Linked DNA regions of Oryzias latipes. The protein of the gene in region 1 purifies or fractionates together with the protein of each later gene. This does not show direct contact. Links are inferred from orthologs where the notes say so. Each region holds a gene or a part of one and is shown on either strand. Other genes may lie near its edges.

Region 1 (4,247 bases):
GGGGAATAGTAAAAATGTAGCCTTAGATATGAATAAAATGTATGTGTTTTGGGCCAGTTTTCTACATAAAAAGCCAATCAATAGTACACATCTCTTGAAATTGTTCTTTAAATACACTTTTTTTTTTTTTACAAAAAAATAAAAATAAACTGTATATGAAAAAACACAGGTCTGTATTTTAATTACCAACATTAAAAAAGTCAACGTGTTCACATCTGTATTATTAGTGTTTTTTGCTCAGGCACCACTAACCTTGGCACGGACGTTTTCAAATGAGGCCGGACTCACAAGAGAGAAGCAGATGAGGAACACATCCTGTAAGACAAAGACAAAAAAGGTTCAGAGTCCATGAAATTCATTTCCTGTTGAGCAAAAAATAAATAAAAATAAATAACCTATCGCTAAGGTGGTCTGTTTAACTTTCTTTAAAACCCTCTTCTACATTTGAATACCACAAATGCTCCCAATTAATTATTTATAAAAGTTATCAACTAAATAACACCTTGTCTGACTATTTTTGTCATTGTACCGTCTGTGGGTAAGAAAGTGGGCGGAGTCTGTCGTAGTCTTCTTGTCCAGCTGTATCCCAAAGGCCCAGGTTCACCGGCTTCCCATCCACCATAACATTGGCAGAGTAGTTATCAAACCTGTGAGAATCAAGCATTCATAAAAACTCAGTTATGTCATTCAAGCCTTGCTACATATTTCTGAATTTCTATGATCATTAGATAAATCAAACAGGTTTTTTGGGGGTCAAAAATCAAAGCCTTGTTCATCAGCAGTACATGTTTTCAGCTTGTTCTTGAATCAGAATAAAAGCAGAATGTACATTTATAAATAATCAGAATGAACCAAAGTGTTTTGAGTGACAAATTCCCAAAAAGCCACAGATCCCACAACTAAGAAAATAAACTAGCTGGTTGCACTTCTGGTAATTTTACATAACAAATGCTTCTCTGAACCCAAACAGCTGCCTGTTAAAAAAGAAAGTGACTTCTTATGTACAAGGAAACTAATATTCCCCCATAAGACCAGTTGAAGAAATGAAACAAAGACACAGTTAAGCAACAACTGTCCAGAAGAAGAATGACAGACAGCTTAGCCATTATGAATAAATAAACACTCACACTGTGGGGATGTACTCTCCTGGAAAGGCATTGGTGGTGTAGCTGATGAGTAGACATGTCTTACCCACAGCACTGAATAAGAGAAATGTTATGTTCAGAATTCAGGAAAATAAAACATATACAAGCTGTCATTAAAGTCAGGCTTAAGTTGTTCGATTATTTTACATTTACAAAGCTAAAAACAGTCCAAGCATTTTATTTAATAACATCAAAGTTACTTGAAATAATTACAACCATTAAAAATATAGTTTCAAGTTAAATGTGGACACTACGCAAAGTTTGGTTTTTAACAAACTGAAAGGAGGAAGTCTGAGAGTCACATTATCATCCGTAGGATAAAAGCAGGATCAAAATAATCCAATATCAAAAATCAATAATTGCCAGTTAATCATTTATTATCATCTCGTAGGTAATGTCAGTTTTATTGAAGCACTCCTGATAGAATGAGTGCACTGATTTCAGGAAATAAGGTTTTTTTTTCTCTTCCAGGCTAGTTGATGAGTAAGCAGATATTTTAAACTTTTGAAACTTTAAAGAGAACTGGTGCCTTAGAGTTTCTTCAAGTCGGAACGGAAAACAAAACAAAAGTCGGAGAGGTCGAGGGACGACTCCGCTGCGGTGGGACCAGCCGCACCCTCGACAAGACGTTACAAGTGTGTTTACCTCTAGCATATTACACATCAGTCAGACTTTCAATATTAGCTCATTGACAATCCTGTCTTTAAAATATTGCAAACTAAACCTACTAATTTAACTATTGTGTAACACAAAAACACGCCCGTGTCAATACAACAGAAGAAGAAACAAATTTCAACTCTTCGAAAAAGTACATATAATTTTTGCCCATTTTGTTCAAAAATAACTTCAAAACAAATCTAAGATCAATCTAACTCTATTCACTGATTTTGGCGTAAATAAATAAAAAAATCTGGAACATTGGATCCAGAACGGTAATATCAGGGGAAAAACAAATGCAATACAAAATGTTGTACATTTCGAAAAAAAAAGAAAAGAACTTGAAAGTCCAATATTTAACCGATAACTTGGCTAACTTTACAACTCCAAAAATAAGACGCAACATTTATGTCGAATGACAACTTTTCGACATCACTGGCGGTTTCAGGGTTTGATACCAAAACTGTCGATTAAATGTTAAATATCACAGTGAGTTTAGTTAGGTTCAACTTACCCGTCTCCAACAACGACACACTTTATGGCCTGCATTGCGCCGCAGCTACAGGAATGCTAAGTTAGCCCAGAGCCAGTTAACGTTAGCTCGGATAGCTTGTCCTTTGTCCGCAACTCCTCTCAAGTGAAACTACCCAACAGTCTTTGCTAACAGTCGACCGCGCTAACTCAAAACTTTCTAAACGGAGAACGGCTTGTTAGAAAATAAAGTTGCGGCGACTCAATTCGGACTTTAGGTCAACTAAACTCAGAAATTCCCTGGCAACATTCCCATGCTTTCGTGAGCTGCTCTATGAGTTATGGAGCAAAACAGCGGCCACCACCCCTATAGCTAAAGAGAAAAAAAAATGAAGCCAGCTCTACAAGATAGGGCATCCGGCGCACGCCCACAGACACCTTAACCAAAGAAAAGATAGCCTCAAACTAGTAGTAAAAAAAAGGGTCAGCTACTCTGGTCTTAAATATAAAGCTTAAAGTTATATATAAATAACATTTGAAAACTAAAATATTACATTTTGGTTTAATGAAAACAAAATAAAAGAAATCGTCGAAGACGGAATATTTACGGTGTGACACCTAGGGTGGAACTGACGTCAGTTTTGACGCGTCTACGGTTCATTTACGATTACAATGGAATTTTTGGTGTGTTGTTTAATTTCCCTGAATTATGCCTTTCAGGCTGAAAAAGTTTTTTTGGAGATGGAAGGATAGCTTGCTCTCCCACCCCTACACCACGATAAATTCAATTATACCATACCAGCAAACATGCACTGTATTAAAAAATAAAGTAGTAAAAGAAAAAAAAAGTCAATGTGTGCCTATTCTAATACGACAAAGATATTTAGCTTCAAAAATGTAACACAATCAATGATTAGTTGGTCATTGTATTTCCAAAAAGTCTGTAGTACTTTGCTTCAGTTCAAGATTTTTTGTGTAGTGAACTTCTGGAAAACAAACCAATTTACCTGGTTTTGTAATGGTGCAAAAACAACATATATACATATTTAGTAACTCAAAAAACCTCTTCTATGTTTCTGTTTGTTTAGTTTTATGAGAACCATAGTAGTTGTGTCTAGGACGTGTTTTTTTTTTCCTTAGCCACCACCCAGATCTGGAAGTCCTTTCAGTCTTTACTCGGGGTTTTATTTAATCCTGGTTTTACTGCACTTCCGTGTGTCGCAGCGATGTCTGTCCTCGGTAGAAAACTAACAGGGTGGAGTAGATGCCAGTACAACGGCAGCAAAAGACGGAGCTCGTTGAGGGTGAAAGATAGAAGAATGGAGCTTCATCCAACACTTGCAGCCATTGTAGCGTCCCCTTGCCTGTTGCCTTTGTAAGCCAAGAACACAGCGCTCAGGGTTGGGCTTTTATGGCGAGTCTTTCGTATCTGGTGCTCCGGTTTTCGGGCTCCGCTGGTCGGACTTACGGACTATTCTCCAAAGGCTTGACGAGGACTTTGTTGATATTTTTTGATCTCGCATGGCGGCTGAGAATACGATTCCCCTACTTTTACTTGGTAGCCTCAATGGTGTTTAACGTCAGATTACAGGTAAATGTTTACACACTATTTTCAGACTGACGGTCACGGTGAGCTTGTCACCATGCCAACAACAGCTGTTGGGGGGCCTCGATAGGGAACCTTTGTTCTTATAGTCAGTTAATCCCAGGTTAAATTGATATATAATCTCTACTACGTGCTGTCCCATAAAACTGGGTTCATGAAAATCATCTGTTAATCGGAAAAATAATTTACTGACATTTGATCAATAGTGAAACAAGTTCATATTCACCCATATTTAGTGTTTGTATCTGATCTAAAATAAAAAACAGTAGTCTGTAATGTGTAATCAGTCAGGGGAAACAACAAAATAGATTTTTTCAATCTTAAATATGAAATATTAGCAATAATTGATACTTTTATACCACAGAAAT
Region 2 (4,380 bases), on another chromosome or scaffold:
CGCATTCATACTACAAAAAAGAAAACATGCTCATCAATTTGGGGTGTGGATTTATGGAACAGATTGGATGAAGGTTTAAAACAAACCAAAAGTTTACATGCATTCAAGAAAACCTACAGGATGGAACAGAACAAGAAATGATCAATAAAAACAAAAATGCCTCTTCTGCATCCACATTACATTCCTATGTAATGTGGATGCAGAACATGTACAAAACTGTAAATAGAAATACGCAGATCATCAGGTGTTGTAAAAAAGAGGTGGGATCATACAAGATTTCTCTTCAGCCCACTCTTTTTGTTTTATCTATGTTAAACTCTTGTGTTTATTTTCATTTGTGTTTGAAATAAACAAAACTGAATTGAATAGATTGAAATGTAATTATCTGTCTGTATGAAGCTCTGCTGGTGAATCATCCAGAGTGAACTCCAGGAGCTGGGGGAGGGTCCAGTGACCCTGACCAGAAACCAATGGGTTTACCAATGGATGGATGTCTGAATGTGACTTTGAAATGGCAACCCAATTCTTTATTTTCTTGTGCTTTAAAAAGAAGGAACATGGTCAAATGACGTTCTTATATACTATTGTTACGTTTTGGGGATTTTTTTATGCAATGGGTCTCTTGCAGGTGTATCCAAACTAAATTCTAAAAAAATAAAAAGGAAAAAAGATAAAAAGTTAGGATGGCAACTAATTACTAAGGTAACCCAAAAAAATCCTTTTGTGTGTCCCCCTTCCCCATAGTTTTTCTATTTGGGGATTGTTGTGGGCCATTTTGTAGATCTGAAATATTCCAAGGGCTGAACGGTGCCTCACACCAATAAGGCCCCTGGTTCAAGTCCCGGCTGGGGGACCTGAACCAATGTCAATGGGGGGGCCTTTCTGTGTGGAGTTTGCGTGTTCTCCCCGTGCATGTGTCCAAAAACATGGGTTATTGGTCACTCTAAAATTGTCCATATGTGAGCGTGCATGAGTGCATGGTGCGGGATTGTGGCCCTGCGGCAGACTGGAGACCGATCCAGGGTATCCCTGACTTCACCCACAGGTGGCCGGGATAGGCTCCAGCAGCCCCGTGACGCTGAAAGGCATAAAACGGAATAGAATATTATTTCAGAAATCAAAAAAAGATAGTCTGCAACCCACTTTCAACATTTTGCCCATAGCTGCACTGTTGAAAATAAGCTTCTTCTTGTTTGGATCACATATCAAAGATGTTGGAATTTTTTTTTTTCATTTTCAATTTTTTTTTATTTGTTTCTCTTTAATCAACTTTTTCTGTGGTAAACGTTCTTCCTTCATTACGACAGGAAAGCAATAATGTAATATTTTATCTGAACGTTAGGTGCCATCAATGGTGCGGAATTGAATTAAGATGTCCGAGCGTACTTGAACGCCTCTCAGTCCTGTTGTGGAAAACCAGGACAGCTCCTCCCAGTCCCTGACCGAGAGAGAAGGGGGAGACCGCGGGTGGAGGACAGGAAGCTGTTTTCCACAAACATCTGAGTATGGAACACATCTAAATCCTGCATAAATCACTGCCTTTACTCTGCTTCCAGATTTTGAACAATAGCTTTTTGCGATTCCAGCTCTTTTTTGGGATCGGACTGGAAATCTAAACGAACAGCGAGAAGATGTCTCGGGCGGGGATCCAGCCCAGCCAGCAGAAACTGGCCGAAAAGCTCACCATCCTCAACGACAGAGGGATTGGAATGTTGACACGGGTGTACAATATTAAAAAGGTTGGCGCACACACGCACACGGTGGTCACCATTCATCCGGGAAAGCTGCACGCGAACCAGGACAGAATTCTTCCTGAATCCTAACTCCCTTCGGGGATCGCCCGTCAGGATGCGGGCTAACGAACACTTTCTCCGGGCAGTGACTGAAGCCCCAATTTAATTTGTATTCCCCCCGGCTTATTTATGTAAAAATGTTCCTGAAAGGACAAATATGTGAAAGAAATGTCCGCATTCTAGGCATATTTCTTCGCAGCATCCCAGGCTACGGCTCTCCTTAGCAGAGCTAGCTAGCACCGATGGCGTTAGCTTGCGGTAAAGTCGTTCACCGGTTCTTACGTGAAAAATGGTGGCGTGAGAACAAACAAACACGGGCGCCTGTCGCAAACAAGTGGGTAACATTAATCCCCACCATTCAAAGAAAACGGAGGATTTAGTCGAGCCCTGCAGTCCTTAGCGGAGCTAACTGCTACAGCCTCTCCGGTAATGGCGGCGGCGCGGATGCCGGAGCTCCGCTCCAGCGGGGCGTCGTCTCTGAACGAAGCCGAACGAGGAGCACTGAAAGTCGAATGGCGTTCGGTCCCTCACACCGGAGGAGAAACGGAACCCGCAGCGATGTGAACAAATGGGCCGATATTTTACGTCGTTTGTTTGATAGAACAAAATAGAAATATAACCTATTGGAAATGTTTTTAGGGGTAAATTCCAGCTGTTGTTGTCACAATCATCAAACACGGCGAGTGAAATACTTCTATCTGAAAATGTTAATGGAGTTTTCCCTCTGATCCATGTGAGGGAGGTGATTTGTTCACTTCCAAAACTATTAAAACTGTCAGATGACACTTTACCCCAAAGCTTTTCGTGTTTTTAAAGTTAGGGCTATCTTGAATATTTGAGCTGAAATGATTATTTCTTTTCAAACTGGTGTTGGTGATATTTCCATCCAGAAACTTCTGATTTTGAAGGTTTTCTGATGAGGGTTTTCTTTTTCTTTTACTGCAGTCTTATCTTAGAGGAAAGCATATGTTTGTAGTGTTTGATACATCTTCCCTTTTAAAGGAACAAACTGCTGTTTTTTGTCTGAGATGGAAAGGACTTGCTCTGATGTGATCTGCGTTCACATCAGACGGGGTTCACTTCAAATTTGTGTCTGCTGCCCGGCCGTAAATGCAAAAGCATGCACCTATTTACTAGTGGTGTAGCAATTTGTTCTGAAAACTATTCGATTCATATCATAATTTGTGGTTGCTGATCCAATCCATAATTGATATTGGATCATTTTGATCGATCCAGTTCTCTGACCTGAAGTGGATCCGGGAGATCTATAACTAAAACTTCCAGCAGTGAGACTCAGACAGAAATTCCTGCTACTGAACAGTGGAGTTTTCCAGATTCTTCCAGATCATCTAAACTAGAATAAATGTCAAATCCATTCACATGTTAGTTTCCTAAAGTTCCCCTCTGTTGTTTTTCCACATCCAAAGAATCCAAAGGGAACATTCTGAGAACATTCTAGACACTGGATGGTCACATGACTTTATTCAAAGTCTGTCCACACGTTGGACTGGAATGATCAGTTTAGCAGGGGGACACGTCTGGCCCTGCAGGGTTTGAGTCCCTGGTGGTGTAGTGATGGTTTGTTACTTTGGTCCCAGCTCTCTGCAGGTCATCCACCAGGTCCCCAATGTGGGGTTCTGGGATTTTTTCTCACCGTTCTTGTGATCATTGTGACCCCATGGGGTGAGATCTTGGGGGGAGCCCCAGATGGAGGGAGATTATCAGTGGTCTTCCATTTCCTAATAATTGCTCCCACAGTTGATTTCTTCACACCAAGCTGCTTCCTGTTGCAGATTCAGTCTTCCAGCCTGGTGCAGGTCAATAATTTGGTTCCTGGTGTCCTTAGACAGCTCTTTGGCCTTAGTGGAGTTTAGAGTGTGACTGTTTGAGGTTGTGAACAGATGTCTTTATATAGATAACGGCTATGTCAGATTTCCTTCACTACTCACTACATAGTGCACTATATAGTGCGTTCACCATTTTGTTGTGCTGTCCGACTGTACAATTCCAAAATCGAGTGCTCTAGAAATTTCCCAGAAGTCTCTGCAAAAACCAGTGTGCATTGATGCTCACTAGATTGGCGAATATAGACAACAATGCATTGCGTTTGAACAATTTTTGTGAAAAAATTCAGTTTAAATATATATTTAAATAAAACATCAACATTTTCATCCCCAGATCTCAATGGATTTATAAATGATCGTCGCGCTCATATCAGTGAGATTTTCCCTTCATGAAATTGATGATGTCATATTAGATGTTAAGAAAAAAAAAGTATTGAGCATTGTGTCCTAATTGCTTTTAAAGTCCACTTGATAGTCCAGCACTGTCCAGCACTTTGCTTTTTTAGAGGGGCTCTGCTTTCACGGCGCTCTTTCTCAGTGGGGTCATGTCTTCACTAGTGACTTGAGTACCCCTAGTGAGACAGCTGTTACCTGGCACAGCATCTATAATGGAAATATTTCTTTTTTTTTATGAAAATAGAATAGAACTTAATGATCCCTCTCCAGTGAAATGTATGTGACACCACAGCTCAGTAAAAAGACAGACAATAAATAACACTAAACAATAAAGAACACAATCAAAT
Region 3 (4,263 bases), on another chromosome or scaffold:
CCAGCTGTGGTTGCAGCTGCAAGAGAGCCGTGGGTTTTCTCACATGTATGAGTCAAAGCATCCATGCACTCAGGATGTGTGCTGCTTGTCATATGTGTGTGGAGCTGTGTGACGGCGTGGCTGATTACACAGTGGATGACCGCAGAAGGGATTCCCTGTTCGGACTGGATTTAGCTCTTTCATACCAACCAGCTGCTTCCATCAACGGAAAAGACACGACTGCTCTACTTATAGACCCACTCTGATCTGTGCCATCTATCCAGCCGTGCAGTTTTGAGCCAAATATCAGCTCAAACCAGAAAAAACAAACCATTAATGGATCTGTTTACAAGTGGATGCATCAGAATGGAGCAAAGCGGGGAGCTTGTGGCACACCCAGCATATTTTCTATGCAACCAATGCGATCTTTTTCAGAGTTTTTTCTATGCTCCTGAATCACAACAATTTCAGTAAAGACACACTCAGAAATGGCGTTTTTGAGTTTCATTTTCTTTATATAAGTCCTCCATCATCAGAAAATTACCACAAGAACATGTTAAAAACAACAAAAACACCATTTTCAATGGAGTGGGTCTTAAACGTAGCACAGATTTAAGAATAGCTTAAACCTTTTCAGAAGTTATCATGGAAACTGGAATTCATTACACAAGTTTCTTGTTTACAGTCCATGACCATGTGATGAAAACTAACTTTGAGGGCGGTCAGTTGACTTGATCATAAAGCCTCAATCTGCCCTGACCGCAGGGAGAGTCTGACTCACCGTCACAACTGAGAGCAGGAGGATGCAGAGCGGTGAAGAAGAGACAGAAACAGGAAATCTTAAGCGCTTTGCCAAGTCTGTGCAGTGTAATAAGAAAGGATGTGTTGGTCATTATTGAATTCACTCACTTCTGCATTTAGTGCCCACTTTGTCTCATGCTAGTGACTGGGTGTTTCCAAGGGGCAACATTTGTACGTTACACTGCAGATAATGTTCCCGTGGAGTGAAATATCAGCTGAATCTGATAAAATCGAATCATTTTGTGGAGGAATTCCAGAAATAACATGAGAGGAAGAACTGTTTATGAGTTTGGCGGTTGGTTTAGCGATTCATACATGTCTTCAGATTTAAATCCTCTGGCTGGAATGCTGACAGGTGAAAGGGGGGAGATCAGAACACTGGGAGTGGTGAGGGATCCCCCTCTGACTAAGCAGCTACTTGGGTGTTTCCCTGTTTTAACAGCGCAGTTCAGGCATTTCAGAGGCCTGACCCATCCTTCTCATGCAGGGGGCTGTTTGACCCCGCTCTGATGTGAAAGCCCGCCTCAGCTGGAGTGGAGAGTGACAGACAGCTGACGCTCCCCTCCAGTATCATAGCGCCTCAGGTGGCTTCCAGCTCTCCCTCTCATAACCTCTGTGCGCATGTCCCTTATGGAAAGAATTCAGGGTTTCAAGGCAACCACTGTGGGAAACGTGAGTCCCAAAAACAGGAAATTCGTACTGTTTCCTTTGTTCCGATGGTCACGTTTTTAATCCGTGCGTGCAGATGGGCTGTGCAGCCTGCGCAAAGCACAACTCCATCTGCAAAGTTCCTTCCTAATAGGGGGAAAGAAAGTAAGAGGCCGCTCTGGAGAGGCAGCGCGCAGCAGCGTCTGAGCCCCGGGAGCGCACGATGACGCACAGGCGCAGAAAACACCAAACCAGATTTTAACACTTGGACAGTTTTTGATCACATTCTTGGACTTTAAAAGCAAAAAGTGGCCGAAATGTCTGTGACACAGGAGTCTCTCAACTGTTATTTTTTGTTGTCACAAAAAGTCTTGAAAGATTCTGCAGCTGCAACTTTAAAAGTAACTTGAAAAGTTCGAAATTAGCAGGTCTGACTCACCTTGACAACGTCGTCGTTTATTTGTTTAGGGTCCCGGTTGACTAGATCTATCTCTTTGGTGTGGACATCATCCATCGTCTTCTCGTTTACGCTGTCGTTGTCCATGTCTTTGTTGTTTGGCTTGTATATGTTCCCCTGCTTTCGGATGAAGGGCGACTGCAGAAACTCCTGTGGAGATCCGAGGGAGGCAAACAAGTGAGGAAGAGGAGGAGGTGGTGGAGGCGGAGTGGTGCGCAGCGCGCCGAGAGGGAGCGAGACTGCAGTGCAAGTCACCGGCCTGCCTCGAGAACAGGGATGGGTTTAAGCGCACTGAACACGCAGCACCACACCCCTGCACTCAGCCGCAAGGGGTCCTCACCACCCACACAGTGCTCCTGTCCTGACCTATCATACAGTTGGCTCCACATGGATGTGGACGCATGGCAACGCTTCAAAACATTTTCTGTGAAAAAGCAACAGTGTTTCATCTCACCATCCAAGCAGAATATCATCTACTAATCTTTTTTTTTTTTTTTTTTTTTTTTTACCAGAGGTGACATTTGTAAAATATGAATATTCATACATGCAAGTATATGTTGTAAAAGTGAATCCTCTCAAAGCTTTTATGATTTTGATCATTTGTGGAAAAATGAGGTTGAAAATCCAACTTTTAAACGCTTTTAAAGTCTCTTCCTGGATGAAGCAGAGCAATCTGACGCGTAAAGCTCAGGATTTGGTTGCGTTAATTGGCTTTTTCCTAAAGCGCAGCGCTTGCCACAGCAGGAAACTAAAAATACTAGAATAACTAGTTTAACAGAATAAAACAACAACAAGCAAATATCAAAAAGGGGAAATAATTTAATTTAAAAGGGGAGAGCCATACTGTACCTCGTCAGCGTCTCCGTCAGTGCGCTCCCCTGTCATTCTGTCCTCAGGAGCAAATGGGGTCCTCCGTCCAAACACAGATCACTCTGGGAAGCGAAGTGGGAGGCGTGAGCGCGGACTACCGCGCGCCTGATGATGAAATCAACCCTGAGCTGCCTTGGCGCCGAGTGAGACAAAACTGCGGAAAGTCTGAGCGCGCAGGGGAAAGCTCCGCTGCGTCTGCACAGCCACCTGCGTGTGCGCGCTCGGCACAACAGCCGCTTGGGCTGCAGAGAAGGACGTGATCTCACACCAAAGGGCTGCTGTGACACGCACGGAAAAAACCCTGCTTCGTTCAGGAATGAAGGCAGAATAAGACGGCACTTGTTCAGAGGGAGGAGGGTGAGATGGGATTACTGAATGTCGAAGTGGGAAAACCTGCCATACCTGAGTCCCAAACCGATCGATTGTTCCAAGAGAAAAGAAAACAAACAAGCAAACAGATCAAGAGGGGGAAAATGCAGAATTAGTAATAACATTTGAGAGCAGGTGTCAATGCTTTTCCTTTTCTTGTCAGCTTCAAGTAAAGCACCCGGCATCCCTGATAGTTTCCTCTCACCTCTTCTTGGCAGCAGCTCACTCATCAGTGGAACAGAAGCAATGTATGGATTTTATGGAATGGTCTTTTTCTTCTACGTGTTACCCTTTTTTGATAGGCTTCTTGTGCACAATAATTAGTCAGGGTGAAATGCGGAGCACTTATTTCATTACAAGTAGCTGTAGTGTACCTTTAAGATGATCTTTTCTGTTTCTAAAAAAATATGTTATCTTCTGTAAGCAGACTGATATCTGCATAATTATTGATACCTGTGGCAGAATTTGGCTTGGGGCCTTACTGCTGGGTTGTTCTGTGTGACTGGGATTCCTTTGCTCCACCCCTAAACTCTACTGTCAGTGCCCATGAGGGTAACAGCCGCAGCAGGTCTACTCCTTTAATGTGCTATCCTAGGTACGTTACCATTGGGATTTGGGTCATCTAGACCCACTAGACAGTGCTCTGAACCTTTTTTCTTCAATGATTTGTGATCTTCACTGGTGTCCATGGATTACATGAAATCTTTCCACCTTTATCCACCTTTGTCATGGTAGGGAGAACAGGTCAATGTAAGGGTGGGGTCATCTAAGATAGCACAAGGGTTAATTTGCCCTGATACCTGTAACAATGCTACAGTCTCACTATGGAGTGGAACTTAGAGACCAACTCCAATAAACAGTGTATTTTTTGGTGTTGTTTTGTGGCATTTTTCTGATGATGGAGGACAAATAAAACTAATATTGAAATTGCATCACTGAGTATTTCTTAATTCAAATAACTGTGAATAAGGGACACAGAATAAAAATTGCAGTTTAAAAAAAGAGCATATTTGTTACATAGAAAATACGTTGGGCGGGCCACAAACATGCTCTGCTCCATTCTGATGCATCCAATTGTACCCATTCCAACCCTTTGAGCCTGTAGACGTACGTCTTTGTTTTCCTGGTCTGAGCTGGAG

What was found. Proteins that work in one complex are often made in the same cells at the same time.
Region 2: the proteins of ras-related C3 botulinum toxin substrate 1 (region 1) and nckap1 purify together in Homo sapiens (pull-down; 4 studies listed by BioGRID and IntAct, with this or other methods). This does not show direct contact. The link is inferred for Oryzias latipes from reciprocal best matches to the Homo sapiens genes RAC1 and NCKAP1.
Region 3: the proteins of ras-related C3 botulinum toxin substrate 1 (region 1) and caveolin-1 purify together in Homo sapiens (affinity purification with western blotting; 4 studies listed by BioGRID and IntAct, with this or other methods). This does not show direct contact. The link is inferred for Oryzias latipes from reciprocal best matches to the Homo sapiens genes RAC1 and CAV1.

What each region holds. Positions count from the first base shown.
Region 1 is NC_019866.2:11,732,739-11,736,985, forward strand, and holds the start of ras-related C3 botulinum toxin substrate 1, read right to left. Parts: upstream 2,900-4,247; 5' UTR 2,352-2,899; coding exon 2,317-2,351; intron 1,200-2,316; coding exon 1,128-1,199; intron 648-1,127; coding exon 530-647; intron 316-529; coding exon 253-315; intron 1-252. UniProt on the Homo sapiens protein: Plasma membrane-associated small GTPase which cycles between active GTP-bound and inactive GDP-bound states.
Region 2 is NC_019873.2:827,904-832,283, reverse strand, and holds the start of nckap1 (nck-associated protein 1), read left to right. Parts: upstream 1-1,382; 5' UTR 1,383-1,503; intron 1,504-1,586; 5' UTR 1,587-1,631; coding exon 1,632-1,739; intron 1,740-4,380. UniProt on the Homo sapiens protein: Part of the WAVE complex that regulates lamellipodia formation. The WAVE complex regulates actin filament reorganization via its interaction with the Arp2/3 complex. Actin remodeling activity is regulated by RAC1.
Region 3 is NC_019864.2:2,997,895-3,002,157, reverse strand, and holds the start of caveolin-1, read right to left. Parts: upstream 2,999-4,263; 5' UTR 2,771-2,998; coding exon 2,735-2,770; intron 2,036-2,734; coding exon 1,868-2,035; intron 1-1,867. UniProt on the Homo sapiens protein: May act as a scaffolding protein within caveolar membranes. Forms a stable heterooligomeric complex with CAV2 that targets to lipid rafts and drives caveolae formation. Mediates the recruitment of CAVIN proteins (CAVIN1/2/3/4) to the caveolae.